Linked DNA regions of Drosophila melanogaster. The gene in region 2 interacts genetically with the main gene of each other region. Each region holds a gene or a part of one and is shown on either strand. Other genes may lie near its edges. The genes, in order: Vap33, ssh, sick and mbt.

Region 1 (9,343 bases), on a different chromosome or scaffold from region 2:
TGGCCGTTCGAGCCGTATTCCCGATTTGTTCCAAACGCGTACGTTTTATGTTGTAGATATGTAAAAATTGTATAAAACAAAACGAATTGTGAAACGAAGCTGAAGAAAAACCAGAAAACTTAACTAAAGAGAATTTAAGAACTAAACCAAAGCATTTTTTATAAGGGATACAATCTCTGCTGCTTAAATGGGATTTATAGCACAGTTGTATAATAAGACACCATTGCGTTTCCTTTTCGTTTTATTTAAATTTATTTCAAATGATATTTGATGTTTAATTAACAATGTTTCATTTTACTTTTCCTTTGAGAAAAAAACGCTTAGTTTTTAAGATTCATGCTGTAAATATTATAATAATTGTTTTTCTCTTGTGTGTATGTGTGTGTGTGTGCTGATCTCCAGCTTCCAGATCTTCTACAACTTTCGTTGATTTTGCGCCTACTTCGCGAGGAGACAGACTCTTTCGGGTGTGAGTAAAGTGTGTGTGTGTGTCGGTTGACTTCAATCAAATAATGCAATTGAATGTTGTTAAATGTATCGAAACAATTTTTGAATGTTAAGTTCCGTTTTCACATTTTATTATTATTATTATGTTCATATATATTGTGTTTTGTTTTTTTTTTTTTGCTACAGCTGACATCAAGTACAATTTGCTTATGATTTGCTTTTGTCTTTATCATTTGTTTATTTCCACATTTCCTTTTATTTATTTTTAGTTTATTTTTTCTTTTCTTTTCTGTATTTCTAGTTAAACATTTAAATACGAGTTTTCCACATGCCTATGAAATTACAGCGATCATGCATGTCGGCGAATATATATTCATGTATAAATCTATATACCCTTTTCAATGCTTTGCAAACTATATAAAAAAAGTCGTAACCACGAACAATAGCAATGAAATGTGTTGGGGAAACAATTGTGTGAAACAAGATGCATCGCCAGCAAATAGTAGGCGCTACGAAAGGAACCAAGTGGGTGGGTGGGTGTATCTATGGATCCAAATCTATGGATCCACGGGTGCAGTGTAAACCATGAACAACACGCGTTTGTTTTGCTTCTAGTAAAGGTTTTTTCGTTCCTTTTTTTTTTTGTGTTTTCTTTTTTAGAAAATTGATTGATTTTTTTTTTGCACTTATTAGATCGTATATATATCGGCGTGTCGGATACAGTTGATGGATTTTCTCAATTTCGGTGCCATTTGGGCTGGAAATCGTTCAATTCGACCTTGGCAAACAACACAAATTACATAAAGGTTTGCTTACAGAAATTTAGTATATTCATATAATATATATATATCTATATATATATATATATATATAGCGTTCATTGAGTGGTGTGTATGTGTGTAGTAATGTAACCACTGAAGTGACTAAAACGAAACTTAGTAAATGCAAATGCCAACCAAAACAATAATGATTATATATAAATATGTATATATAGAGCCGCCGTCCGCGTTCGATCTCGTTTCGGGATTTAGAGAGGGACAGACGGTTGAGAATGAGAAAGAGTGATGGGACGAGGGGTGAGGTGAAGCAACTTTTCTTTCTTAGAGAGCGTCGGCCTTGCAGAGCATTGTTGTTTTTATTTTTTTATTTTTTGAAGCTTTTCATTGATTGGTTTTCCATACAAGTGTTTCTTCTTAATTTTTGTTGCATTTTGCTAAATGTTTTTTTCTTGACATTTGCGTTTCTGTTTTCGATTTAAATTTTACATCTAGGTCTATGTGGCTGCAAAAAATTAATTAACAAAAAGAAAGCAAATAATAAAAAAAATTGATAAAACTGAAGTTTATTCTCGCACTCAAGTAACAAATTGGTTTTTCTTTTAGTTTCGTCGAGAAGGTATGATTAATGATAATTTTTGTTATTCTTTGAAATACTTGACTTTTCCCGTTTGCAAATGCATCGAAAAATTATTAAAACGAATTGTGAGGCATTTTAAACTTAAGTTCTTACAAATTAATAATAGCGAAAAAATGCAATCGAAAATCTGAGCAAATATACGTATGGATCTTAGCGGATTTTAAAGAGTTCTTGAGAGATGTTCCCCCTTGCGAAAATACGATTTTACGTCTCTTCTATTTTTCCCTTTCTCTGCGGTTTTTTTTTTGTTTTTTTTTTTTTTTTTTGTTTTGTTTAGCCCAGGTACCAAAAGTAATCATTCGTTATGTTTTCTTTTTTTTAAGTATTGATTATGATGTGAGGGATTTCATAGGGCCCAAATGTTCTTATTACTCAAAGTCCGGTTGCGACTAATTCAAGCGAGATCTTGCAAAAACTTAAATATTTTTGGTTGAAATACACGAAGCGTCAATACAGCTTAAAATTGTTTCGAATGCTTTACACTTAAGTCTCGTTAAGATTCGTATTAAAAACAAGAACTGCCAATCTGTCTTTGAGCAATATGTTGGAACCAAACAATATTTCTCACATCATAATCCATACTATTCTGAGCGATACTTGTTTCGCTAACAAACAATGATTATTTTTGATTTTCAATACAACCGTTTAAATGTATACGGTCCCCGGTTTAGTCAGCTTTACATTCGTCTCTGTGGTTTGTTTCTTCTGCCAATTAAATTTATTTTAATGCTCCTGCTGCTGCTGTTCTTCTTTCGTTGTTGTTGCTATTGTTAGTTGCTGCTGCTGCTGCTGCTTTTGCTTTTGTTGTTGCTGTTGCTGTATGATGGTGTTGCCGCTGTTCTTGCTGTTACTGTTGCTGCACGTTGCATGTAGCATGTTGCTGGCGTTCGTTTATGGCATTCAGAGAAAGAATTTGCCCAGCAGGAGGCTAACGATGGCCGCAGCAATGGCAACTGCAATGTAAAAGACCGGAATCTGCTTCTCAGCCAGGACTGGGGCATAGGGCTCATTCACCTGTTTGACGGCCGGCGAGCTCCGGAAACGTGTGATTTGATCCTGCAAATGGTTGAGAAATTTATTAATTTACACAAATGGATAGATTGATCCTTATCTGGCTACTTACAAAATATTTATCCTATGTATTCTTTTTTGAACTCGAAAACAAATCAGCACCCCAACTGAACCGAGTTATTGTATAATAACAATAATTATATATCAAGCGCGCAGAAAACTCCCAGGCACAACAGATCATTATTTGCATTATTCTTGGAATTACCAAATTGGATTTACTTATATTTAAAGGCTGATTATTTTTAGTACACCACAGCAACCTAATGCAAGAAATTGTCACTAATAGTGTCATTAATTTTCATATCAATTTTGAGATCATCGCGTACAGCCTATAATTTGAAAAAAGTCAGAGGCCTGCTTCTCCTTATGGCTGAATCGACTCATTCTAACCGATTGCGAACAAAACTGAATATTCAATATTGAAGACATCTTGATAATACTGCTGAGGAACTCCCTTAGGTAGCAGTAACTTCGACATTGCACTACTCAAAACACAGAAAAAATGAAGAGTCATAATGGAATTGGCTTACCTTCAAGTGAAGATTCTCTCTTCGCAATTCAATGTTGCATTCACGCAGCGCTTTGATCTCTCCGGACAGCAAGTCCAGACTCTCAGACGTTTCGAGCAAATTGGATGGCTTAAACTGGGTAATATGTTAGCGTTATTTATTATGCCATTAGAAAGGTTTTGCCTGTTCGACTTAACATACCTTATCCTCGCTGGAGAGCTTCGGCTTGCTCTCGAGCGCCTCAGCGCTGGCTGAGCTAGTATTGGCACCCGCGCTTCCGCCTCCGGCAGCTCCGGTTCCGCCGCCAACGGCACCACCACCGCTGGTGTTCTCAGCATTTGCCTCAGCGGTGGGCATCTCGAAAACGCACTTCAGTTTGGCGTCCATCAGCTGCTCGGGCTCCAGATCCTTCCACTGCGGGTGTAGAATAGGACGTTGATTAGAAAAGTAATATACACACTATGCCATCATTAAGAGTCCTATTCGTTTCCCCTTACCAATTTATTTAAATCGCTTAGATCAGCATCCATGGGTGCCAGGACGCTCTGCACCATGAACTTGTGCTTGTTCTTCTCCTGCTGATCGTAGACGAATGGCTGAAGGCAGACTATGTACATGCCGAGGATAAGTAACGATATTATTAGAGTAACGATATACCATTTGAGAAATACTCACTCTCCACCTGGGTTGATCGAAAGGGAATTATCTTGCCGATGTTTGGACGTACGCAGTAGCGTTTCGGGGCGGTTGTCTTGATCTTGAAGACCAGAGGCAGAGCCGAGTTGTTGCGCAGAGTCATGATTGTGACAACGGGTCGGGTGAAGGGACCTGTAAGGCGAGAATATATCAAAATGAGTGTTAGCTTAAGGAACACATCTTATTAATTTCATGGCACATATAACGCATATGTACATACATATTTCCCTATTGTTAATATTTTCTGATTTCCGATTTTCTCCTCATGATATGATCTTTAAATAAAACAGGCATTATCGCCCTTTCATATTGAATGCACCCGATTAGTCACACTATTTTGGCGATAGCCCCACCCAACCCAAAAGCGCCCAACACTCGCACTTTCCACATTTCTCTACTTTCCCGATTTTCCCCACTCTTCCTGATTTTTGTGTAGCGTCACGCTCGTTGCGTCATTGGTCGAGGCAAGTTCAAATTAATTGAATTAATATCAAAACAAAATCGAGAACGGGCACAAAAACCGAATAGTAAACTGAATATCGAGGAATACCCTGCATATTGAAGTTGGATTCACTACCAAAATGTGTAACTTATTTTGAAACTATTATGAAATTACAAAAATTACTTCAAATTATTTCAGATTTAATGTGATTAGTAAACGCTAGTATTACTCCGAATATTACTTTTAAGCCGACTAGAAATCGATCGCGGGGTCTTACATTCTAAAATAGTTTTTTTGGTCACATTTTTAACAGGCATTGGTGAGAAAATCAAAACAAACCAGGAAATGGGCAAAAACTAACGAAAGGAATTTTTTTTGTTTGTTAGCATGGCGTGTGCGTGTTTTTCTTTGGTGTAAGTGTGTGTCAAGGAAATTTCATTAGACAAAGTCGCGTCATGCATGTGTTTTTCACCCCTCGCCGACCGCACTATTCACGATCTAACGGGAAACGTGGGCGAGGGGGTTGCAAAAGAATGGGGCTAAGGCTCACTCACACATACACAGATATTAAAATATTTGCGCACAATGGAAGCGATAGCAAAATACTTGAAAAGTTAACTCAATTTTTTTCAATAAGACAAAATACAAATGGTGAATGGTTATTGGTGTATTATTCTAGATCGCAATCAACAATGATTGGTCATTTAAGTAGACATTTCGTTCTGCAATTGAGACTGTGATAAAATTTCGCGAAAAAAATTAAATGTTTATGCACTGGAAAATGCAGCTTGGCAACAGGAGTTCAATAACAATGCGATGACAACCGTGCCACTTGTCGCACCCACTGTGCGAGCTCTTTGCATTGTTTTTGTCACTGCTGCTGTTGCTTTTTGGCCAAAATTCAAGGAGCCAAAAGACAAGAAAAAATTAAAATGGCCCATGACAAGTTTTTGCGTATAAAAATATAATGCTAGCCAAAAACGCGAAACGAGTGAGCAAGAGGGAGAGGGATGGCGAGTGCAAGTGAGAAAGAGAGCGACGCCAGCTGCCGGCATCAAAAAATAAAATACATTAAAGAGCTGAAGCAAAAAAAAAAAAAAGAAAAAAAACGGAAAGAAGCAGAGCGATGATACACGTAGACCCCGAAAAGAACAACAATAAAAGGTGTCGTATGTAAAGGAAGAACAAAAACAACGGAAATTATTGATAGCCAATCGAGCGAGATGGCAATAGAAAGCGTAGAGGGAGGGAGATTAAATGTGCGCGTGAGAGAGAGAAAAAGTGAAACTTGCAGTTTGCTCTTTGCAAGAAATGGGAGGTGAATCGGCTTTTTTGGTCGATATGCAGCGACCTTTCCGCAAAAACGCGAAAATAATGTAAAATAAACTTACCCACAAAACGCAACTCATGTTCTGGTTCAATGGTCAACGGAAGATCAAAGAGTGATTTGCTCATTGTGGCGGCTGGCTTTTGTTGTTGTTGTTGCTGCTGCTCCTGGTGTTGTTCTTGTCGTTGTTGCTGCCGAGAATTTCACTCTCTCCGCTTTTCGCCTCTTATCGTTTTAATTTTATTTTTTGTGCGTCCTGTTTTTGCCCAGCTATTTGTTGTTCTTGCTGGCTGTTTGCTGTTAAGAAAATGCACACAAAATTATATTAAAATGCAGACGCACGCATAGATACGAGACACAGGCACACAACTAAATTAAAAGAGGGATTTCAAATTTTTCGCTTACGTTTGCGTTTTTTAGCCAAATATATCAAGAAAACTGCTGCTGTTTTTATGCCTGTTTCGTTTTACTTTACTCGTCTCTCTTTTTTTCTTTCGTTTTTCGTTCGTTTCGCTCTCACAGGCGAAATATCGGTAAATTTATGCGACCACACACACACGCATGGACAAAAAAAAAGCAAGAGCCAGAGAAACTCACGCACGCACGGGCTTTTTGCAGAAAATTTCGGGAAAAAAACACAACGATCAACGTGCGACTTCTTCACCGACTTTAGGTCGCTTTTCTGTCGATATTTTCGATTTCAGTGGTTTACCACGCTTCGGTTTCTTCGCAAACTTCAGTTGAAAACGCAAAATGTAAAAAAGCCATATATTCTGTCAGCTAGTGATGTGAAAAAAATATCGATGCATCGGGTATCGATATTTTTAGTTTAGCGACTTTTCGATACTTGTCAAGCATTGGTCGTTAAATTACCTTGTAAAATATATATAGTGTTTTTTAAGACAAGATATTTTTTCTATTTTTTTTTATTTAGGTAATTTGAAAATGTTATTAATAACAATTTGCACCAAAATTTTCCTTTCCCTGAATAATGCCATTCAGCTTTTGACAGAATATAAATTAGTTAAATTTATAACATAACGAGTACATGAAATTTAAAAATGTATTAAAATAAATTTTCCTAGTTTTAAGTTACAATTTTGCAACAGGAAGCAAAGCAGTCGAAGTAATACATAAAAATACGAATAAAAATAAGAACATGCAAAATTACAATAATTTTAAGCTTGCCAAAGCATTTATTTAATAGAACACAAATTTGTATTTGATGGTAGTATTACATATTTTATGTAAATATAGTCGGCCTTAAGGACACACAAAGTTGTAAAATAACCTGATATCAAATTATTCTGATGTTCAATCATAGCGTTTTGTATATTATATATATAATACATAATAATACGAAAAAAAAGAACATGCAAAATTTTATTAATTTTCAGCTGAATAACTTCACTTGCTTGCCAAAGTATTTTTAGTAAGACAAAAAATTTGCATGGTAGTGGTACATTTGTTATGTGCATACAGTCGTCCTTTTAAAGGACATACAAAGTTGTAAAATAATCTGATATCAAATTATTCTGATGTTCAATCCTAGCGTTATGAATATTATATATGTTTTTAGTCATATAGAGATCTGACTGCCTAAGAATTAAAGTGTTGGACAAGCGGCGGAGTTTCGATTTGGCTTAAGAAAATTACACTTCTAACAGCATCTCCTTAACACTTGGCCGCCTGCTGTTCCTGGATATTTATGCCGAATCGCACAGCGAAGGCTTTACTAGCTAGCTTCATAATCTCGTTGCGAATGGAGAATGGAGCCTTGGCCACAACGGCCATCAAATGATCCCAATGCTGGCGCTTCGTGATGGTCTTATTGTGTTTGGCGTGGCTCCGGAAGGCGATCAAATATTCTCGAAATAGGAATCTAAAGGCCATGAAAGCGGACTCGCTGTTCACCTTGACCACTGCATCGCTAAGATCGCCCATAACAGCACAATCGGCCCTTTTTTTAAGGAGCTTTTTGAAGAGATCGTTAGCCTCCTGTGCACTGGACTGAGTTAGCAATTTGAGAAAGGAGCGTGTGTCCTTTAAGGTGTCTTCTTTAAGGTAGATGAGCCAAAAGCCCTTGTGCTTTAAACTGTTCACTTGGTTCAAGATCCTCTGGCGGCATTCTGTGAAAGAGCAATAATTAGTAGGCTTTCGTCTTGGACTTACATTTATAAGAGCGCACCAGTGCCTAGGAATGTCAGATGAGACAGACCGTCCTGCCAATACCACACCGCCAGTTCTAAATTATCCACCCGGAAATCTTCAAAGGTGGCCAAGTCCCAGCGTAGGGCATCAATGGTTTTCATGACATGCGAGATCAGCTTCCAGTGTTTCAAACGCCACTCTGGCAAGCTGGCATTCAGATATGTGTAGTGCTTGGCCACCTTGACAGCTGGTGCATCGTCTCCGTTCTCCAATTTCGGGTGCTCCTTTTCGAGTGCATTTAACTCTGCAGTGCCTCGGGTGATTAGATTGCTTTCACCCAGACTAATCTGCTTGAGCAGTTTCAAGATTAACTGCAAGCTGGGCAAGTTCATGGGCTCTATAAACTTGGCCAAACCGTAGGCACACGCGTCTAGGAACCTATTTTGCGCCTGCCTAAGCTCATCCTCTCCGTAGGGACACCGTCCGTCTTTCAAACTAACGCACAGTTGTCGCGCTGACGTGTAGAGACCGTTGAGGATCTGTCGGTGGCCATATAGGTAGAGTGTAAACTGCAAGGCATACGGCTTTTGAAGTAGTTGCTCGTTCACCAAGATGTTATCGGCACAGGCGGAAATATGAAAAGCAGCATGCTTGGGACAAGACTGAGCTATGTGCCAGAATAGCTTCGAGAAGCGAGTATGCGTCACGCCCAAGTGGGAGAAATCAATCCAGGTCTGTCTTGCGTTCTCAAAGCACAGTACTAGAAATTTGGTTATCGGGAAGCGCTTATTATAATCCAATTGATTAAAGAAGCGTATGCGACGCTCCCGATGATCGGGAGCCTTGAAATTAAATCCTTGGGTAACGTTTTGCTCATCGCGCAATAGCAGTACTTCCATCTTGTCCTCGACATTTAATTGCATAAATAAGGGACGCAGTACTAGGCTTAGCAGCTCTTCGTAATCATCGTTGGACGAGGTCTCGTCCTCGTCATCCCCCTGATTTACTTCCGTAACGGATATGCCCTCGTCCTCGACCACCATTTCGGACTCCACCACCTGACCCAGGAAACTGAGTATTATCTGGGCATGTTTCTTGGTGAGCATAATTAAATGATTTGCCATCGTTTCCACGCACTCATCGTTACCAAAGGCTATGAAGCGGCTAAAGAGATTGTCCAGCCCGGCGAGCAACTCCTCATCGGTGGCCATACCGGAATCGAGAAAGACTAAGAGTTCACCCATTCTCATCTCGGCAACGCGCTGCTCCAATGTTTTTGCTGCA
Region 2 (7,725 bases):
AGTTCTGGTGGTGCTGGAGCACCGCCTGCGTGCGCATCCACTGATTCTGGTGCACCTCCCAATCGGACAACCGAATCCAATTGGAGCTCTGGGTGGCCAGCTTGACCATGGCACATCTGTCCAAGGCGGAGGCCAGACCCTTTTTGCCATATGAGTCGTGCGTGGGCGAGATGATGCCACCTACCACTCTGTGGGTTCCCTGCATTTCGAAGTGGTCCTTGGCTATCTCTGTTGACAAAAACATGCCGCGTAATTTTATCGATTATGTACCGCAGAATTTCACAATCTAGTTTAACTCACCGAACATCCGAAGGTGCATGGGTGTGGGTGGACTGAAGCATCCGCAGGCTATGAAGGCGATCCGCGGCAGCAGGCTTTTTGTTTCCTCGATGAATGCTGACATTTTCTTCGATTTTGAGCGTCTTTTAAAAGATCCAAACCGCCGGAAGCATTCGCTTGTTATGTTGTTCTTGGGCCAGCTGATTTTCACAATCATCTGTTCGGCTTGTTGTTATTTTCCAACACTAAACAGCTGTGCAGTGGCTACCACCTCTGACTACCTTTGACTTGTTATTCGATAAATGATAACTTAATGTAACTTAATTTTTTGATTTTTAATCATCAAAAAGGCAAGAGTACATAAAAATGTATTAAAGCCTGTTTTACTGATATATCAAGAAGTATACAAACATCACTGCGTTTCTCATTAATAAGTACTTTTTTCGGTGTACCACACGAACATTGCTTTCGCTTGCGATAGTTAGCCAGCCCTGCCAGAACGATTGCCTGACGATACTAGTGTTATCGATTAGAAATGGCGTCCTCACTGTCTTTCTTTTAAGAAAAATTCGTGTAGTCTATTTACCATTTAGCAGCGTTGTGTGTGTCCGTTAATTGTAAGGACACGCTGTTTCTTAGAGAGAACCGCCTGGCTAGAGTGTCCGGAAAGCGGAAACCAAGACGATCGCAGGACGAGGTCGCGGAGCCGACTGCAAAAACAACGGCCAGCAGGCAGCGATATGAAAATGCATTTGTAGCCTTAGCCCACAACACTTGCACACACACCACACACTCTCGCGCACACTCACACACAGGGAAAAGGAGGTGGAGCAGAAGGAGCCGAAGCAGGAGAGGATTGCAAGGGACACCGCTGCAGCATCGCCATCATCTGCGCCAGGTGGAACACGAGGGTCAAGAGGCGTCGGCGGGGGAGGAGGAGCAGGAGGTGGAGGAGCGGCTGCGGCGACGACGACGACGTCCACGACCACGGCAACAACAAATGGCGCTGGTGACGGTGCAGCGCTCTCCCAGTGTGGCGGGCTCCTGCTCGAATTCGGTGAGAGGAGACTTGATGGTTTTCGCGTGTGCGTATGCGTGTGTGCTTTGTTTTGGTCACCCCCACTCTGCCAGGAGAGCCAATTACGGGCAGGCTCTTTAGTGCGTGTTCCGCTTTTGGCCATGATCCTTTGTGTGCTCGGATGTGCTTTTCATGCCCAATGTTTATCATCCGCCAGCTTGTTGCTTACGCTTTTTGGATTTCGACGTTCAACGTTCGCGTGTGGGCGGTATGAGGCAGCGTCATCATCGTCATCGGCTGTGCTGCGCTGCGCTGCTTTTGGTGTAACCCAAGCAAATCCGCAGACGTCGCGACGTCTATATTTTTCAACAGACTTTTGCATTGCCTTATTTGTCGTTTTTGTCGCTTTCCGCTTACCGCTTGTTTTTGTTTTCTTCGCCGCCCCACCGCCCAAAAATAGTTCGCGAGACCTTGACGTCCGCCTGCACAGAGGGAAAAATTAATATCGGGGGTTGATCAATTTAATTTTACAAAACGTTTTAATTCAGATATGCTCAATATGTCAAATCGGTATTTTTGAACACATAAATTAACATTTTATTATTTCTAAGAAATCAGAAAATATAAAAAAAAAAAAAATACTTCACTAAACCGGAATCTTTTTCGAACTTGTGACCCTTTTCTCAAAATCAGACGGTATTCAGTTGAACAATCAGATTTCTTGGAACTGCAGATACAGCTTTGCTTCTTTTCCGCCCTTGAAGTGTAGACTATAATCAGGAGTTTATCTTACCCCTTTGCAAAATAATGAGCATGCAAGTTTGTTCTTTGCCAGACGACATCCTTATATTTAGCCTAACCCCACGGGTGAGGTGCAGCAGGATAAGGTATTCTTAAACACCGAGTAAACAACTTTCCTTTCTCTATAACATCAGGATGGCGAGTCCGAGGACGACGAGGGCAATAGCAAAGGAAACGATCGCAGCGAGTGCTTCTTTGCCGGCAAGGGAACCGCCCTGGTACTGGCTCTTAAGGATATCCCGCCCCTGACGCAAAGCGAGCGTCGCCTGAGCACCGACTCCACCCGCTCCAGTAACAGTACGCAAAGCAACAACTCGGACATCCAGCTCCACCTGCAATCAATGTTTTACCTGTTGCAGCGCGAGGACACGCTAAAGATGGTGCGTATCCAATGTAAAATTACTTTGTCTATCTTTTAAACATATCTTTCTATTCCTATCAAAAGGCTGTCAAGTTGGAGTCACAGCGGTCCAACCGCACGCGCTATCTGGTGATTGCATCGCGTAGTTGTTGTCGGAGCGGCACCAGCGACCGTCGGCGCCACCGGATCATGCGTCACCACTCGGTAAAAGTTGGTGGATCCGCGGGAACAAAGTCGTCCACCTCCCCGGCGGTCCCCACGCAGCGTCAGCTGTCCGTTGAGCAGACCGCCACAGAGGCCAGCAGCAAATGTGATAAAACAGCAGACAAGGAAAACGCAACGGCGGCCGGCGACAACAAGAATACCTCGGGCATGGAGGAGTCCTGCCTGCTGGGCATAGACTGCAACGAGCGGACCACCATTGGCCTGGTGGTGCCCATCCTGGCGGACACCACAATTCACCTGGATGGCGATGGGTAAGACTGGGCATTCATCTCGTAAGAGTCATGCACTCATAACTGCCTAATTGTCGCTATTAACCTTGGGAATTATTTATAGAATTAATTTAAAAATTAGCCGCCCCTAATCTATACACAAATCGGTGTCGCCTTGACCAATTTCCTAGTTGAGCGGTGGCATTTATGTCGCACATTTGTTTCCAATTTATCTTAAGCTATTTTAATAATAGCATGGCAGAGTGTATTTGTTCTGATAAACGTGTGATGTGCATTTCCTTAATTTCAATGGTTTATCTTATCTTGCTTTCAGCGGATTCAGCGTCAAAGTGTACGAAAAAACGCATATATTTAAGCCGGTCTCAGTGCAGGCCATGTGGTAGGTGCCTCCTTTGGAGTCAGATCCCCTTCAGTCACAAATTAAACCCTTGTTTCTTTCCAGGTCCGCGCTGCAGACGCTGCACAAAGTGTCGAAAAAGGCTCGTGAGAACAACTTCTATGCCAGTGGACCCTCCCACGACTGGCTATCCAGCTACGAGAGGCGCATCGAGTCGGACCAGTCTTGTCTGAACGAGTGGAATGCCATGGACGCGCTCGAGAGCCGCCGACCACCTTCGCCTGATGCCATACGAAACAAGTAAGGGTTCGGTACAACTAATTATTTACGGTTTTAATTCCTCTTTCCCTTGAATGCCATAAACAGACCCCCCGAAAAGGAGGAAACCGAAAGTGTCATTAAGATGAAGCTGAAGGCCATCATGATGTCAGTGGACCTGGACGAGGTCACCTCCAAGTATATACGCGGACGCCTCGAGGAGATCCTGGACATGGATTTGGGCGAGTACAAGTCGTTTATCGACGCCGAAATGCTCGTTATTCTAGGCCAAATGGATGCCCCCACCAAGATTTTCGAGCACGTCTATCTGGGATCAGAGTGGAATGCCAGCAACTTGGAGGAGCTGCAGAAAAACGGGTATGTTTAAGAGAAAAAAAAGGCCACACTATTGATATCCTGGGAAAATTGGCTAAAATCAGCGACAACTTATTTTCATTTTCAGCGTTCGCCACATCCTGAACGTGACGCGGGAGATCGATAACTTCTTTCCGGGCACCTTCGAGTATTTCAACGTTCGCGTGTACGACGATGAGAAGACGAACCTGCTCAAGTACTGGGACGATACGTTCCGCTACATCACGCGGGCGAAAGCCGAGGGATCCAAGGTGCTGGTGCACTGCAAGATGGGCGTCAGCCGATCCGCCTCGGTTGTCATCGCATATGCCATGAAGGCTTACCAGTGGGAGTTCCAGCAGGCGCTAGAGCACGTGAAGAAGAGGCGCAGCTGTATAAAGCCCAACAAGAACTTCCTCAATCAGCTGGAGACGTATAGTGGGATGTTGGACGCCATGAAGAACAAGGAGAAGCTGCAGCGCAGCAAGAGCGAGACGAACTTGAAGAGCACAAAGGACGCGCGACTGTTGCCTGGTAGCGAACCAACGCCCCTCATTCAGGCTCTAAACCAGGCCAAGTCGAAGTCGACTGGTGAAGCGGGCGTAACACCCGATGGCGAAGAGGAGGATGGTTCACGCATGCACCGGCGATCCATCGCCCAGAAGTCACAGCGTCGCATGGTTAGGCGCTCGAGCAGCACATCACCCAAAACCCAGACGGCTGTGGTTACCAAGCAGCAAAGCCAGTCTATGGAGAACCTTACGCCGGAACGTAGCGTGGCCGAGGAGCCAAAAAATATGCGCTTCCCAGGCAGCAACGGCGAGAACTACAGCGTCACCCAGAACCAGGTGCTGCACATCCAGAAACACACGCCTCTGTCAGTGCGCACACGAATTCACGATCTCGAGGCGCACCGGGCGGACCAGCTGCCACAGCAACCTGTCTGGACCTCGCTGACAAAACTGATTACACAGACCTCTCACTTGGGAAAAAGTGTCAGTGGCAGCAGTAGTGGAAATATTGACTCGCGGCGGGATTCTAGCTGTTCGGATGTATTCTCCTCGCAGGTGGACAGTGTTTTTGCCAAGGATGAAGGGGAGAAGCGCCAGCGTCGAAAGACGCACTCCTGGACAGAGTCCTTGGGTCCAAGTGGCGGCATCGTCCTGGACCCCACGCCACAGCAACAGAAGCAGCAGTCAAACGCCATTCTGCGTCCCCGAGGCACACGTCAGCGGGAGCTGCCTTCGCGGCACGCAAGTTGGGGATCAGGAGACAACCGATGCTGTCTGCCGCAGAGGACCAGTTCCGGCTCCTACTATGACTCCAATCGCAACACTACGGCCATCTTCGAGGGCGTTATCCAAGACCTCAAGCGCAGTTCCAATTGCAATGTAATCGAAGGAGTCGCCGTTGCTGTGGAACCGATAGTTGGAGTTGGCGAGGGCACCGTAAAGCGCACCAAGCAGAAGCTGGAAGAGAGCACCTCGCTGAAAAAGCGCTGCCAGGAAGAAAGCCAGGAGCTGCTACTCGAGGCTGTGGATGCTGGGCAGAGGCGGTGCCCAAGCCTCTATAGGAGCGCCTCCTCGGCGCACAGTCCGCGGCAGCGTCAGCCACTACGCTGTAATAGTGAGGAGCTGATGCACACCAGCGACATCGAGAACAAGAACACCACGCCAGGCGACCATGAGGCGACGGTAGTGCTGCGCGTCCAGGGACAAACGCTGGCCGACGATCAGCGCATCTCGGGCAATGTGCAAATACTCAAGCAAAATTTCGAAGCCAAAGCGGGAGTGGTGGGCACAGGAGGAGGAGGAGGCGGTGGCACTGCAGCGGGATCGGGCAGTAGTTCAACAATCGCAACGTCGGTATCGGCGGTGGCCGGAGCCTGCTCAGCGAATCCCGGCAAGAAGACGACTAGCCACCAATCACTGCCATCGTCGCCGGTGGCGCAGCATGCCAACCACGTGTCCGCCGCCTCCAACTCCAACTCCTCCGCCTCCAACTCGTCCGATTCCAGCGTAAGCGAAAATTGTGATCGTAATGTAAAAGGTCTAGTGCATAAATATCAAACCACTACTTCCTGCAGTAGCCAGGCGGCCGCCACCCCCACAGTCGCCTGTGCCCCACTGCCACCCGCCGGAACCGCCAGCAACATCAGCCACTCCTGCAGCACCACTACCACTACTAGCTTCAAGCAACGCCCGCTCTCCTACTACGACCGCTCGCTGTCCAACAGATCCACGCATGACTATAGCGACAGTCGACCGCCACCCGCGCCCGTCCGCGTCAGTCACAGCAGCAACGTTCAGCACCAGCAACAGCAGCAGCAACAACTGCAACCGGAGCAGCATCAGCAGCAGGTGCAGATCCGGCGGTTGGCGCAGCACGGGAAGACGCATCCGCTGAGCAGGCTAAGTGCTCCGAAAACAGGCTTTAACACCGCCGCCTACAACACCATGTAAAGGCCATGCTCTGCTTAACAACATGCTAACTGCAAACTGCAACATTCACATACCACTTGCAACTTGCAATCCATACCCTGTAGCCACTAAGGATCGTCCTCATCCTATCGCCTGCTTTACTTATTTATATACTCGCCCGCTTTCGACCATTTTGTGTTTTTTGTCCAACAATCGAACACCACCACCCCATCCATCCCCTCCATCATGCCTCGTGTTTGTTGTCTTGTTGTGTAAGGCGTCCATGAAAGCTTCTAAAGATCTTGTGTCTGCAATGTGTGAATGGAACTATTAAGATGACAAGAGAGGGCAAACAAAACAACCTATGGAAATGAAACTGTATTTGTACTTTTAAATTACTTGTAACTGTATACATATTTATTTTATATTATGCAAGAACTGCCTACGAATAAACGATTTATTGTATATACGTCATCGTCTTGTCTTGTGAGTGTCCCTGTGCCGTCCATGTGCCATTCACACCACAACTCCCATGTGTTGCCCAACAAACACTGCCCTCCGTTTTTACCAGATTTGTATTTGCAGCCTTATCCACATGATCCGCTCCTTCCGCTACTCTTGGGCGGAGTACAAGAAGTGATCCGGCACATGGAGCACCGACTGCCGAGGCCGCGGCCCAAAAGTTCCCACCTTGAACACTTGTATTTTTTGCCATTTATCAGACCACATATTTATAAATAAAAATGTGTAATCCAATTTCGAGCGCAATCTGTTTTACTGTTGGCCATGAGTCACCTTTGGGTACACACATAATTTAATAGTGACCGGAGATATGAATTATTTTCACATATTGTATAATTACAAAGAAATTAACAATTACTATTTAATATAAATGTAATTTGATGTAGTTTGGGGATTTTAAAGTTAAATGTAGATATAGCAAGGTGTGTATGGAAGGAAAAAATATATGGGTTCTAAAAAGTTTTTTTTTTAACAAAATCCTTATCGATTTGAAAATAATAATCATATTTCTAAATATTGTTTAACAAAATCCTTATCGATTTGAAAATAATAATCATATTTCTAAATATTGTTTAAGCTTTCTAACGGCACAGTGTTTGAAAAAGATTTTTTCAGATCGCAGATTATCGTTGCCTATCGCCCATCGATATGTGTAGGAGGAAACGCAACCAACCACCTGGTAACACTGACACTCACACACCTGCAGATGCGCCAGCACACACACACAGAACACACACGCACACAGACGCGCACTGAACTTCCACTACAGTTTCTTTATTTTCTGCAGGAAAATTAGAAGCAAAACGACACGAAATTCGCAGTGAACTCGCGGCGGACTCGCGACCGTAACGTAATCGGAATCTCGGTGGTGATCCGGAGGCCAAGTGCACACCGTGCGATGCTAGCCACTGGCCAGCAAT
Region 3 (6,306 bases), on a different chromosome or scaffold from region 2:
TCCCGCTTATATCAATTTACATTCCATTTGCCGCAGGACCTCGCCCCATCATCCCTCGACCTTTCTTCGTGGAAACCTTCATTTGCAGCTCACCCGGCCTGCTATCCATCCATCCAGCCAGCCAGGAACTAACCAACCACCACGGCCCACAAGGATATGAAAAGCAATGCACTTGACACTTTGCCGGCCACTTCAGCTGGGCCAAAAAGTGTGCTTCACTTGATGTCCTGTCGGCGTTTCATTAGATGCTTCTGATGGCAAAAAACTGCCCCAAGAGATTCTTTGGCTGCTGTAATTCCTTGTTTTTTTTTTTTTGGGGGGGAGCATGCCTCAAAGCAAAAATGTACAGCGCGTATTTCAATTTGCAAATGATGGGAAATGCCTGTGGCACGGAAAATTGGGAAGGGCGAATAGCTTATGTGGGCCAGTAGGGGTGTAAGTACACACACTTTCAACTCGGCACCATGGCAACAATTTTAATTCAATTCCATTAAAAGTCGCTAAGATTGAACATACATTCGCAGCTGGTGTGTGTTTTTGTTGTTTCCTTCTGGGTTTTGCTTTTCTCTTCTCTTGCAACCTGTCCCTCACTTGGGCACACAATCAAACTAATGTTTGGCGGTAGGGAAAACTAATGAAGCGAGCAGTGAAAACGCGACGATTGATTGCTCCCCCGAGGCAACGAGGAAAACAAGAGCGAAGAGCGAAGGGCGGGGGAAAATGGGAAAGCCAGATGCAATCCAGCAGGAACTGCTCTCAAAAGCCCTCGATTTTGGGAATCATCTGCAGTGCACTGCCTCCAAACTGCAATTCCGTGACTCGTTCTTCTCTTTTTTTGATAATTTATACTCGAGGACTCGGCCGTTGGGGGTGACATTTGTTCATCGCCTTTGCGGGTGGGTTTTTCCGAAAATGGTCCTTCGAGGGGTAAGCCAACACCTCCCCTGGGGTGTTTGAAGATGCATAATAAGACTTGTTAAGTTGCTCGCTCGTTAAGATAAGTGAGCCGGCAAATGGCGACAAGTGCGACTACGGAAACAGCCCGCAATGATTACCGGCTTAAGATATGCGAAATTATCCATATAGATAAGATGCTGCGTGGGGTTCCTTCCAATGGTTAATGCGGCGATTCACATTACGGTAAGAGGATTATGTAGGAAATGTATGAAACCTAGCCACATGCACTGCAATATTGAGAGGGTCATAAGAGCTTCACCAAAATAAGCCATTTGCTGGTGAGCCCCACCGAGCTGAACATTATTGTGGCACTTTTCGGGCTGCATCTTAGCATTAAAACCCAGATTTGCATAGGTAATAATAAAGTTCCCTTTTGTCAGGACAAGCCATCAAAGCTAACAAAGATAAATGATTTGTATTTTTTGGGAAAAGGTTTTCTTTCTTCTTGAAAGTCTTCGAAAAATGTCTGGATAAAAATTGAATTTTACTTTGTAAGCTGAAGCACAAAAGTTCTGTTTAAAATAAGAAGTGGTTTAGGTTTTCGGTTTTTTTCTCCATTAACCTAACAGATGCTTCTATTAAGCTTCTTCTTTTTGTATGTCATGGTGATATTTTATATATTTATATCATTAAATATTCACAGACTTACCTCCATATATCCCTGAACACTGTCGCACTGCTGAAGCACCAAAATGGCCGGATTCGCACGCATTTCTTCGGGGGAGCAGGGCGATAGGAAACCACTATCCGCATCGCTGTGGGTTGATAGAGGTCGTGGTTTGCGTATCTTGTACTGGACATGTCGACTAGGCACTGGGCCCGGGTTGAAGAGCACATAGTTGGACTCCGTTGGAACCGTGTGCGAACGCTGATCCTTTCGCTGTTGCTGCAACAACTGTTGCAGGTGCAACATGTGATCCGTGCTGACCAGCTCGGAAATGGCACGTTGCTGCTCAGAAGTATTTTTGTCGATAGACTTTTTGCCACTGCGAAAGGGCGAAAGATTCAGAAATGTCAGCTTTTTCTTCATCGATTGCTGGGCGGGATTGGCCAGGGAACAGCTGCCCGCGGAACTTGCTGAGTTCGTTGAGGTGGATGATTCTACGAGGGCCGTGGATGTGGTCTCCGTATCTTTGGACTCCTGGCTGTTCGACATGCTGGCAGTGTTCTCCAGTTCGTTGAAGAGCTTCTCCAGGTTCTGTTGCTCCAACTTGGCATTCACCAGCTGCTCGTTGGTATAGGGATTAGGTATGCCGATGTCCATGGGAAAGTTCGCTGGGTCTATAATAAAGTAGTTGTGGTGATCAAAACTAGACATGGTCTCTGAATTTTTGGCAGTCGGTTCTGCTTCTGATTCCGCTTCTGGCATAGCTGAAGTCTCTATGATAATAGTCTCCTCCAACTCGAGCTCCTCGTTATCGTATATTACTTCTGGCACCAGTTCATCTTCATCCTCGCAGACCAAGTGCTGTCTTGAGCTGAAAAGGGGATCCCTCAATCCGTGGGCTTGAGTACTGGGATATCTCATGGCTTTCTCGTTGATAAAGTCCACGGGATCAAAGAGACAGTAGTTCTCCATGTGCGAGGTGGCAGCCTTGCGCTGTCTCACTGGTAGATTCCTTAGCTTTTCGGAGTAATCCGCCACATCTTCATTATTATTGGCTGATTCTGGAGCTGGAGGAGGCGGGGATATCTCCTGACTGATGGGCCTTTCCTCCTGCTGCTGCAGCGACTTCTGTGAGCCCCTATGAAGGGTGGCAAACAGGCCACGAGCTATGCAGTTCTTCAGCTCACTCACACGTCCTTTGTAGGGACTCGACTGGGCACTGCTGCTCAGGATCGAGGATTCGTCGATTCCCAGCTGCTTGCTGAGCTCCTTGCGCTCCTTCTTGCTGAGCACCACCTTGCCACGACTGGGCGTATTGGGGGCCGAGTGGAGCAGCCTCGATGGCATTTGGGAGAGGGGCGGTGGTGTGGGAGGCAGCGGATCCCTGTACGGTGGTGGACCCACCAAACAGGTGGCATAGCTAACTGGTAAGTCCGGATAGGCCGTACTCTGCGCCGATGCCGTGGGATCCGTGGCAAGGAACTCCAGTTCCATGTAGTTGGGATGTGGCAACATCTTCGGTTGATTCTGATGATGATTGTCCGTTCTTTGGCTCTTGGGCTTGGCGCCCAGTTGGTTCTCCTCATTCGCATTGCGATCGGGCTTGGTTGAGGAACCCGGACGCAGTTTTCCTGCCTGACTGGACATTTCTAGGGTTTCACTGCAGCTTCCATGGGCTCAGCACTTTTCACTCACACACTCACTCACAAATTTTGTATACATTTTTTCGCCGCTTGGGCCAAATTAATGGCTTTATAAATCTTCATCTTTATGGAGGGCAAAAACGCGTTAATGGGTTTTCTAGTCTTTCGACCAAAAAAAATAAGGTCCTTTTTCCATGTCCTCTCTCTCTCTCTCTCTACTATCTCTGTTTACATTTGTGTTTGTAATTGGATTTTTTAGCTGATGCATGTCAAAGTTAAATTAAAACTGACCCAGCTGGTCGGGGGAAAAAAAAGAGTTATACGTTTCTAGGTTGTTTTTGCGGGCAAAGAGTCATAGTCATGGTCATGGTTACGCCGTGGTTTCGTCTGCTTTTGAAGTGTTCCAGAATGCCGCCGAAACAATGCCAAAGTCGAGCTTTTTATAATTTGTCTACAAAGCAATTAACAGGAAGCCAACGCTGCAGGGATTGCGATAAATGGTGAACAATAATACAATTAAAGTACTGCACATGCGGTTTTAACTTGAATTTGTGCATTGAAGCCGCAGAGGTGGATACATATATATTTGCAACTTAAATGCTTTAAATTGAAAAAACCGAAAAGCATTCACATACATTTTTCTTCAGCTTCCGGCAAACAGCACAGGTATTATTTTGTTCGTGCAATTTTCGAATAAAAGCGATTGTGCGATAGAAGCTGGAAGGGAAATTCAATACGAAAATGCATATCAAGTGCTCGCTAGAGTTTCACATTTGATTAAGTTTCATTTCTCCTTCAGTTTCCCCCCGGTCGCAAAAATGCAGACATAACGGAGATATCAATAACAAATTGACAGCAAATGGATCCATGAATTTATTAAGTGGAAAGCGAAGTGAACAAAGGAATGGTTCATCACTCACGTACAGGTATCTTTTCCATTACACTTGCTGAGATTCGTAGAGTAAATGTGAGTAATCCAAATAGATATAACAAATAATGAACAATGCCAAAGAACAGCATGTTCGCCAAATCGAGATTATCCCAGCATTGTTTCCACTCGGAAAACCAGCAATGAACTTTTAATTTCCTTTATTTCAGCCCACTCACAAAACAAAACTATGACGAACATTTTTCGCCAGGCCAACGTGGCAACAACTGAGAGGAAACCGAAATGGAAAAAGTTTTATTGGCAACAAATTGAAAACCGCCTGGCCATTTGAGTCAGTGAACCAACAAGTTGCATAATTGTTGGCGCATGATAGAATTAAACGCCTCGCAATGAGCCGATGTTCCAATGGCTCCTCTTCTTCTTCCTCTTCATCCTGCTACTTCCGTTTCCGGAAATGGCAGGCTGCAGGTGGCAGAGGCGAAAGAAGTTACTCCAGTTAAGTGGAGTTTCTCTGCCGGTGTCTGTGCCTGCGTCCCATAAAGTATACTGAAAGTAATTTGCAATTAAAATGTTAATTTTTAATTGAATTGCAGATGGCAGTAGGCAATGGCAGTAGTCTCGAATACTGAATCAAGTTAATTAGTGTCAAAGTAGGCAGCTGAAAAGGGGAGGGCTGTTGGGCAGCACTCAAGCCCAAGGTTGATTTATCCAGATTAGCAAAGTATGCTAATGAAATGGTGATAAATGCAAATAATATAAAATTCCAGTTTGACTTACTTCCCAGATTAAATGCAATTGGTAATCCATCTTCTAGGAACAACACAGTTTTTCTTTACATCACCATTACGATTGTAGTTAAAGAAGCAGAAATGTTAAAATCTATTCTACAAATGTGCTCTAATCAGTTGAATCTATACTTTTATAACTGGGCAGTACACGTATTAAATGTTTAACTCCTATAAGGCCACACAATCCTTGTCTGCGTCCATTCCCCTGGGCTTAAAATCCCCCTGAAAGCCACGTGGATAGTGGCTCTCTACTCCAGCATCACCTAATCCCTGACACTTTCAGTTTCCATGACGATTCCGTGAAATGGGGACGAAATGGGGGCAAAAAGGAAAAAAATGAAAGGACCCCGAAGAGAAAGGCAGAAGGCAGGACTTAAAGTTAAACACTTTTGCTTTGAGGTTGAAGTTGCTCGCACTTCATCTGCCTTTGCTTCCAGCTGGCAGCAGTCAAAGTTGACAAAATACTTGTCAAGATTTGCGCATTGAGTTGAGTCCTCCTCTTCCAACTTGTAATTGCAGTTTTGCCGTGGTCTCTTTCAGCTCTGCAGCTCTGAAAAAAAGAACAGATTTCCACCCACTGGGAAAACCCGACGTTTTGCCGGAGGCCATCAAGCCGCAAACTTTACGAGTTGATAGCTGAAATAAAGTGGAGCATGCATTCCGTGCCTTTTAGCCCGCCCACCCACTTCATGACATCATTTTATTTGCACTCAATCTGAGTTCTTTTAGCGCCGCTTTCTGCGCCCAACACGCTGTGCAAACTTCGCTGGCAAGTTGGTTAGAAATGCTTTTGATTTGCTAGTGAGTTGACCAGAATCCCAGCCCCTCGACTCGCTTTCCACACAAAAGCCCACTTTTGAAAAGTGCACGCTTTTCTTTCCATCCTTCAGTTGCTCTTATTGCACCAAAAAGCCCAACCAGAACCCAAAACGTTATTCAAACAAAGAAGAGAAGTATAAGTATGCTGAGGTTTGCCAGAAAAAACTCATAAGTACGCCTTTTGTGTGACTTCTAGATACTCTATCCACTAGATTTCATTTGAAAATTGCATCAAAACAAATATATTTGGCGAAAATTCTAACAAACATTGAGAGAATTTTAAAGGGTAGGTATAAATTCATATAATTCAGTAAATTCTTGGCCAAACTCCATATGGAAATTTTAAATTACAGGGCATAAATAAAGTGCAAAGGCCGTACCGAAAAAAGTAAAAAGGGAATAAAAAGAGCCAACTACAATGCGTATGACAGTTTGAAACACTTCTAAGGACTTTTGAGTTGCGCCGCAAGTTGGGGCGTGGTAGGCGTGGCAAAGGACCACAAAAACAACGCACAACTTCCGCTCCAGCTTGAGGGCACAAAAAAATATGTATAAAACTAAATCAGAATCTATGTGCAATTCAATTAAAGCGCAATTTGCAGG
Region 4 (7,869 bases), on a different chromosome or scaffold from region 2:
GCGTCCTGTGCTACGGAGTGGTCTCCGCTCAGGAGGAGGGTGGTCCCGCCGTTTCGCCGGCGAAGAGAATCGCCGCCCTGCGCCGTCCGGTCGGGAAGGCGGCCAAGGTGACAACCACGACGACAGCGGCGCCAGCACAAGCGGATGCCGGCGGCGAGGGCGAGGAGTATGACGAGGAAACCGGCGAGCACGGCGATCATGGCGAGGAGGGCGACGAGGCGTCCTTTGCCAGCTCTACCACCACCACCACCACGGAGGCGCCCAAAAAGGTCGGCCCGGTTATCCGGCCGTTCCGCTCCAACGATGACTTCCTCAACTCGCTGAAGCGCCGTCAGGCGAACGCGAAGAAGCACCGTGCCGAGAAGCCGCCCAGTCCCAGCAAGCCGGCCAAGAAGAGCGACGAGTCCAACTCCGGCGAGCAGGAGGAGCAGGCATCCGCGCCAGCACCCGCCCCAGCATCCAGTCCCGCCAAGGGCTACAAGGGCAACTCAGCATGTAAGTTAGTCAGGGATTAGGCCAGGATTTTGCTCTAAATGGACTAGCAGTGCCTTCTGAATTTACTAATTTTGAAATAATTGACATTAAACTAGAATAGAAATCTTTAAAATCATCTCTCTATATCAAGTTATTAAATCCATTACTAACTAACGCTTTAACTATCCCCAGTGAGCCGTCGCAAGCTGTCGAAGCCCGCCAAGGCGACGCCCGTGGAGGCGGTGGAGGATGCCGCCGCTGAGGAATCGGAGCAGCAGCAGAAGGAGGAGACGAAGCCCAAGCGCCCCATCGGTCGTCTGGCCCTGCGGAAGCGCAACTGAGCGTTGATTTGAGTGTCAATCAGATCCAACTCCTATTCTACACACATTCCCAGTGACCAGCAAACAACAAACCCTCCCCCCCCTCTCCAACACCACATTTCCCCTCTCTCTCCCCCCCCCCCTCTACCCATCGAATCATATGGCTAGCTATGTGGCAGCCCGATCTGCCCTTTAGTTTTTAGTTCGCAATTGATTTTTCGTGTATGTAATATATTTGTAATCTTATGTTGTAAACAAAAACACACGCGCACACACAACACTCACTCAACTCACACACACCCACCCACCAACGCCACAACGACCACGCCCACTTATCCAGAGCCAGTACCCCATCCTTCATGTACGCGATAAATACGCATATATATTTTGCGAATATATGTGCGAGTATTTAAGCGGGCACAATTATGTATTCTTCACAACCATCAAACAATCAATCAATCAATCAAACAATCAATCAACCAGTAATAAAAACAACAAAATCGAAACATGCATTTTTCAATTAGTTTGTAATAAAAAAAACAGAAATATCTTTAAAATGAAACTCCAAAATGTCGAATAAAATATTAAAATATTCAATATTTCTATTCAGAAATTTTTTTTTGGATTTCTAGTTATTTTTGGTAGTTTTTAACTATGAATGAAACCACAAAATTGAACATTTTCGCATTTAAGTTTATTCATTAATTAATAATTACACGGGTTAAATCAAAAAAACAGAACAAAGAATGTAAGCTAAAAGTTCTAAAATATTTTCGAAATCGGGAATGTGTTTAGATATATGCATATGTGTATGTCTGGAGCGTACAAACTTTTCACACCAATGTAAAATGTAAAATGTTTAAAAAATATTTATGTCGAAATTGTATATGCTCTTCCGCCTAACGCTATCTCTTTCTCTTTCGTTTTCTGTCTCCCTTCGATTCACACCTTCGTTGTTTCGCTTTTGCTTAGAATTAGGATTTGTTTTTATAAAAAATATATGTGTATATATATATATATATAGATTTTTAACATTAGCTCTTAGCGTATATATGTATATATTCGAACAATGTTTTATGGGCTGGTTAAAAAAAATCAAACACACACGCACACAAATCAATATTGACAAGAGACAGAGAGCAAAATGCTGAAATACTCATATATGTATATATATATATATATATAAAAATGTGGTTCTCGGGCAGATAAATGCTATATCGTTTCTCCATCCGTATCGGTTGCAGGATGCGATTTCAATTTCGATTTCGAGGCTTGTGAAAGGCACATTGCGTTCTCTTCTGGAACGTTAGTGGGCATGGATATGGATATGGATGTGCGGAGCTTAAATGACTTTACAACGTTTCGAGGATTCTCCGGGGATTTAAGTACAGCTGCCAAACTGAATGTTAATACTAGAATTTAATAGATGGATGCCCACGGGCCGGGATCCGTTGTCTGTGGGAATGATTGCTTTCATCGAGCAGCCGGATCGTCTGGGTTGTCCAGTGGCATCCAACTACGGATGGTGTCGCGCATTGCGCATCAGCGGAACCAGCAGCGACGGCGGTCCTGCCTGGCGCAGGAAGGGATGGGCCAGCAGCTCGGCGGCGGTGGCACGCTGCGCCGGATCCCGCACCAGCATCCGGTCGAGGAAGGACTGCAGGCGCGGCGAGACCTTGTGCGCGTTCTTCAGGTTCGGCGGCTGCATGTCACGGATGCGACGCATCGCCTGCAGCGGCGGTTCGTTGAAGAACGGCGGCTCGCCGTCCACCATCTCGATGACCATGATGCCCAGCGACCAGATATCCACTTCCGGGCCGTACGGCAGGCGCGATATGACCTCCGGCGACATCCAATACGGCGTGCCAACCAGACTCTTGCGCTTCGGCAGCTCCTGTGACACCTGGGCGCAGAATCCAAAGTCCGATAGCTTCACGCGACCATCGGCGGCCAGCAGAATCGAGTCCGACTTGATGTCGCGATGAATGACGCCCTGTTTATGGTTTATCGCCATCGGCAGCACCGTCGAAAGAGACAGAGAGAGAAGGGAAATTGGTTAAAAGCGTTCACAGTTTGCGGTTTTCCCCCAACCAACGCCCTTTCTCCCGCAGACAGACACTTATCGCATTACACGAGCCAACGTGGGACAGAAATGCACAAAAGAAACCAGATCGACCCTGCAACGCCCAAAAAGAATTTCCTGCTCTTGGGAACACGCTGGTTTCCCTAACGTGGAAGATAGCATAAACAGGTTGGGTTCTAGTTCTAATTTCATTTAAATAGACTACATCTAAAACATTAGGAATGCTTAGTATTGTGAAATGTTGGGGCTTAAACAAGTTCCAATTGACTGACTGACTTAATATTATTATTATATGCTATTCTAATATTGATAGTTTTAATATCTCAAGTTGTATCTCAGGCAAAATCATAGCAAATTGGCTTATCTATCAATGAGTAATGAACTATAACTTTAAACTTCCTTCATCATAAGATGCAATTAACTATCCATTCGAAAATCGCTCTATGCACACTTTTCGCTTTGAGGTAGGGCATGCACGTGCGATTTCACCTGGCACTTTGGGCGTGCTACGCCACTCGATGGCCCACTGTGCGGCCGACGACTTTTGTTGGTGACAACATTTAGAAATTGAAACCAAAGCCACGCGAAAGCGGAGGGCGAAGAAAGCGCCGCAAATGGCAAGGTACAAAGGCACAAAGAATCGCATGATGGCGAGTACTCCGTTCTCTGCTGCCCAGTTTGGCCAAGGGAATGGTAATGGGAACGGGGACAGGAAAGGGGCAGTGTCATGCTGGTCACGCACCTGTGAGTGCAAATAGGCCAAAGCCTTCAAGCATTGCTTGCAGACGGTGGCTATCTGCTCCTCGTCCATGCGCGAATGGGTGACAATATCGGTGAGGGCGCCGCCCTCGAGGTACTCCATCACCACCCAAAGCTCATCGTTGACCAGAAAGCTGGAGTATGTCTCCACGATATTGGGATGATGGTAGTCCCGCATGATGACGACCTCGTTGAATAGCAGCTCCCGTCGCTGCTGTTTGCGCAGATCCATCTTCTTCACGGCCACCTGGCGACCTGTACGTAATGAGAAAACCAAATGCCATTAATTCAATGGTTTTGACAATAGTTAAAGCGGATGTTCTTGCCTGTGGATTTGTCCGTGGCAATGCATACGGTGCCCGTGGAGCCCTCGCCTATTTTGTTAAAGTGGTCGAGGTTCTCGCGTGGATCACCGGCGGAGACCACCATCTGAAGGGCGGCACGGAACTGTTCGTGGGTGAGTCGTTGGTCCTGCTTTGGCTGACCCGCCGCTCCTCCACTGGCGCCGCTCGCCTGCTGGGCAGCACTGCTCGCTCCCCCGCTGGAACTGGATGCCCTGGACGCCGACTTGGCCAAATGTTGGTGATGGTGCGGATGCGGATGAGCATGCGGATGCAGAGGATTTTGGTTCTGATCGCCACCCTGTTTGGCCTGCTGTTGCTGCTGCTGCTGCTGCTGATGGCTTGTGGGATACATGGGAGGATAGCTGCCGCCGCTGTTGCCATTGTTCGTGTGCGAGTGATTGGATCGCGTGCCACTGGCCACCGAACCCACGGGCGAAGTCTGCTGTTGCTGGGGCATGGAGCCGCCGGATGGCGGGGCCAGATTGCTGCGATACTGCTGCAGGTTGGTTTGATCCGTGCGCACGGCCAGTGGTCCTGTTGCTCCATTCGCGTGCGCATGCTGACTGTTATAGAGCAGGGAGGGATGGGCACCGGGTGGCTTAAAGCCACCGCTACTAGCTCCACCTACTCCCGGTGTTCCAGCTGCCGGTGGTCCCTCCTCCTCCGGCACCGATGGCGGCACATTGGCTACCCGTCGCACTCGCGGCGGACTGGAACTCCGCAGCGAATTGGATCTGGCCACGTGAGAGGTCTTCGGCAGGACTATGCCGCCCGTCTCGGGTGGCATCATCATTCCGGGGCCATGGCTCATCATTGGGTGTGCGCCAGGTGCCATGGGATTCATCGGCGCCATTGAGCCCATCATCATTGTGCTGCTGCTGTTGAGCGAGGTGGTGTCCGCCTTGTTGTTGTTGTGATGCGGACGCACAATAGTCTTCAGATCGAGAATCTCGGTGGGCGTAATCTCCGAGGGATCGACCAGTGGCAGCGGGCGGTTGGAGGACTTGAGTATCTGATTGTTGCCCACAATGGACGCCCATTGGAGGGGCAGGCCAACATATTTGTTCTCCCGCTTGTCGAAGCCCGTGTGCACACGATGCTCAAAATTGCTGGGCATCGAGATCAGCGGTTTCTTTTTCTTCTTCGAGAACATCTTCAGCGACTCGGATTTCCCGTGCTCCAAATTTCTGCCCTTTTACCGCCCTTTTCCACTCCACACCACTCCTTCCCTCTCGCTCTTGCTCTCTATTTTTAATGTGTAATTTTTTTCTTTTTGTTGCGTCGCCCGACAATGGAAAATGCACAAACAACAAACGATGGCAACGGCAAATCCGACAGAAACAACAACAACAACAGCACACAACTTCTTCCCGATCTCACTCACACACACACATGCAGGGACACGGGCACGCACGCACACACACACGCATAGCAGCGGACGCGACTGGGAAACTGGGATTCAATTGGATATGGATGGACAAATCGAGATGCGCACAAGCGATACACCTTCACCACTTGCTCCTCTGGCTGGCACACATTGCACACATTATGGCGACAGCACGAGCGCACAAGCAATTCGCTTAACAAAAAAATAATAAACCTAGGGAAATAATTGCCGATGCCAGAAATAGAGGTGGTGTTTATCGTGAGTATTAGTGCTGGAACGGCTATCGATGTCTATCGCAATGGCGGCAGTGTGACCGTTGCCGTGGCATGGTGAGTTCGCCTGTGGTCAACTGGCTTTTCGAAATTCAAATGTTTGTAAAGTATTCGCGCTGAAAACAATTACCATTCAAAGTAAGATATGTACTTTAAGACACCAAATATTCGTTATAGAATTTCATTGCAATTCCAGTTGAAAACCCAAGTAAAGAGCACAATGTTTAAATTATCATACCGCATATATTTACTTATTTACATTATGATACCGTTTCTCTCTCAACATAGACTTCTGATTTCCATTTCTGTTCTCGACTTAAAAATGATCAATATAAACTTAAAATAAAATATTAAATGTTCTTTATGAATTTATGTATATAAAAAACATGCATACAATTATAACTCTTTCGGTTTTCCAGTTTGCCACCATTCTCTCTAATCTTTTCATCTAATCTGTTATCTTGTTAGCTATAGGGTTGGTTGGTTTCTTTACGTTGCTAGATAGTTGTTTTTCTTTAATTTGTTGGCTTTCCACCTTGGCTGCTGCACAGAACGTCGTTGCAGGTATTTTCCTCGTGTGAATTGTGTGTGTGTGAATCTAAACGCTAAAATTAATAACAAAAACTAAAGACTTAATGCAATCGTTTGCCGATCGCTCTTATCTGACTGCAATCATCATATGCTCGACGTATCGGCCAATAACTCGAATATACGTATTACTACATTATACAGTAGTTGATTTTTTGCGCTATTACATGGCCTCGCATCTCTGTTTGATTGCAGCATTACACGTTTCTTTACTATTTCGCAAAATAATTATTACATAATTATCGTTAAGGTATATTATATATTCAACAAAAATAACGTTAAAATATATTCATTTTCGTTTTTTTTTTGGTGCGATGAATTCTCGCGTAAATCCAACGAAGTGTTTTTATAATTTGTAATCATCAATATGCGTAGTATGAGCGACATTCGCGTGGTCATCTCCCAATCATCGGAGAGCAGAGAAGGATGTGGAACGAACCTATTCCTTAGCTTTTTAAGAGTAAGTCGGAGGCTTCTGTCTCGGTTTCGAGATGACGCTCCTTTGCCGCACTATCTTGAATTGGGTCCTTACTAGTACAGTTCGTTCTGTTGATGTATATACCGCTGAATCTCGTTCCTCCTGTTGGTTGTCCTCCTGGTCGCCAGTTGTTGGTGTTTTAGGGACATCGTCGCCATTGGTTTCATTGCCTTCTCCTGTTGTATTCTGCCAAATATTCCTGCTAAAGGGTTTCCTGGTTTCAGAGTTCAGGCTGTGGCGGCGTACGAAGCGGTATTTGTTCACACATGGCGACTTTGGTGACTGCATGTTTATCCTCGATGATCCTTGAATATCTGGCTCCTGGTGATATTGGCTCTGGACCGAACCTTTGAGCCCACTATTGTTGCCGGCGTCTTCTGTGTCTTGCTTTTCCTTTTCGGCCCTTGATGCTTTTGCTGCTACTGCTGATTCTGTTACTCTCGGCAATGGCTGCCAATATCTTAATCCTAATCCGACGGCGGCCTCATTTGCTATCGTGATGGCCGACTGCGATGCCATTTCTACCGGGGCGGCAAACGGCGTACGGGGGCGCGGATTTTGCGGCGAGCCGTCTGGGAACTCTGCGCCGAGTTGCCCGCAGCTGGCGGATTGAAGCTGCGGATTAACAATGGATTAGTATCATTATCATATTTGGTTGGTCAATTTCGAGACTCCCACTGGCGGTTGCTGCTGCTGCTTACAGCGAGTAATGTGGACAAAAAACATTAATTGAACAAATAATATATGGATACGAAATGCTATGAACAAAACGAAACAATATGGCACACACAAATAAGACAAACACAAACTATAGTAAAATATGAAATTCGCAGGATATAGAAAATGCTACATATATCCTATTTACACAATGGTAAATAAACCATTCCGTGGAGGAAATGGATGCGTTTTTAACTTCGATTTAGTTTTCACTTGTGGCCAGTTTCCATATATGACAATATGATTAAAATGATTGATTTATAATACTATTCATTTTTCATTAGTTGATTTTTTTAAGCACAGCTTAAACCAGTTTTTTATGAACATAAATGGTAAATGAGGGCGAAAACATATAGTAAGTAATGATTGTAAGAATTTTGTCTCTCTAAACTTAAATTACGAATATATTTTTCTTTGAAAATCTTTTTTAATTAGATCACTTGATTT

What was found.
Region 1: of ssh (region 2) and Vap33, changing one suppresses a phenotype caused by changing the other (phenotypic suppression), as found in Drosophila melanogaster (one study listed by BioGRID).
Region 3: of ssh (region 2) and sick, changing one suppresses a phenotype caused by changing the other (phenotypic suppression), as found in Drosophila melanogaster (one study listed by BioGRID).
Region 4: of ssh (region 2) and mbt, changing one suppresses a phenotype caused by changing the other (phenotypic suppression), as found in Drosophila melanogaster (one study listed by BioGRID).

The regions. Positions count from the first base shown.
Region 1 is NC_004354.4:3,946,343-3,955,685, reverse strand, and holds Vap33 (VAMP-associated protein 33kDa), read right to left. Parts: upstream 6,712-9,343; 5' UTR 6,314-6,711; intron 6,206-6,313; 5' UTR 6,037-6,205; coding exon 5,973-6,036; intron 4,272-5,972; coding exon 4,119-4,271; intron 4,051-4,118; coding exon 3,941-4,050; intron 3,858-3,940; coding exon 3,645-3,857; intron 3,579-3,644; coding exon 3,465-3,578; intron 2,920-3,464; coding exon 2,764-2,919; 3' UTR 244-2,763; downstream 1-243. Other genes in the region: Gem4c (gemin 4c), read right to left, coding at 7,583-8,037, 8,097-9,343.
Region 2 is NT_033777.3:24,938,029-24,945,753, reverse strand, and holds ssh (slingshot), read left to right. Parts: upstream 1-1,858; 5' UTR 1,859-2,104; coding exon 2,105-2,164; intron 2,165-2,232; coding exon 2,233-2,478; intron 2,479-2,543; coding exon 2,544-2,935; intron 2,936-3,227; coding exon 3,228-3,293; intron 3,294-3,356; coding exon 3,357-3,551; intron 3,552-3,617; coding exon 3,618-3,887; intron 3,888-3,972; coding exon 3,973-6,325; 3' UTR 6,326-6,751; downstream 6,752-7,725. Other genes in the region: Nmnat (nicotinamide mononucleotide adenylyltransferase), read right to left, coding at 1-228, 301-496. UniProt on the Drosophila melanogaster protein: Protein phosphatase which regulates actin filament dynamics. Dephosphorylates and activates the actin binding/depolymerizing factor tsr/cofilin, which subsequently binds to actin filaments and stimulates their disassembly. Required for axon growth.
Region 3 is NT_033779.5:19,824,179-19,830,484, reverse strand, and holds the start of sick (sickie), read right to left. Parts: upstream 4,012-6,306; 5' UTR 3,212-4,011; coding exon 1,607-3,211; intron 1-1,606.
Region 4 is NC_004354.4:16,608,456-16,616,324, reverse strand, and holds mbt (mushroom bodies tiny), read right to left. Parts: upstream 5,641-7,869; 5' UTR 5,134-5,640; coding exon 3,963-5,133; intron 3,892-3,962; coding exon 3,620-3,891; intron 3,549-3,619; exon of another isoform or gene 3,051-3,548; intron 2,788-3,050; coding exon 2,311-2,787; 3' UTR 1,469-2,310; downstream 1-1,468. Other genes in the region: CG9782 (uncharacterized protein), read left to right, coding at 1-495, 667-815; Nup153 (nucleoporin 153kD), read right to left, coding at 7,227-7,320. UniProt on the Drosophila melanogaster protein: Involved in neurogenesis of the adult central nervous system, and together with Cdc42, regulates photoreceptor cell morphogenesis. Phosphorylates exogenous substrates when activated by Cdc42.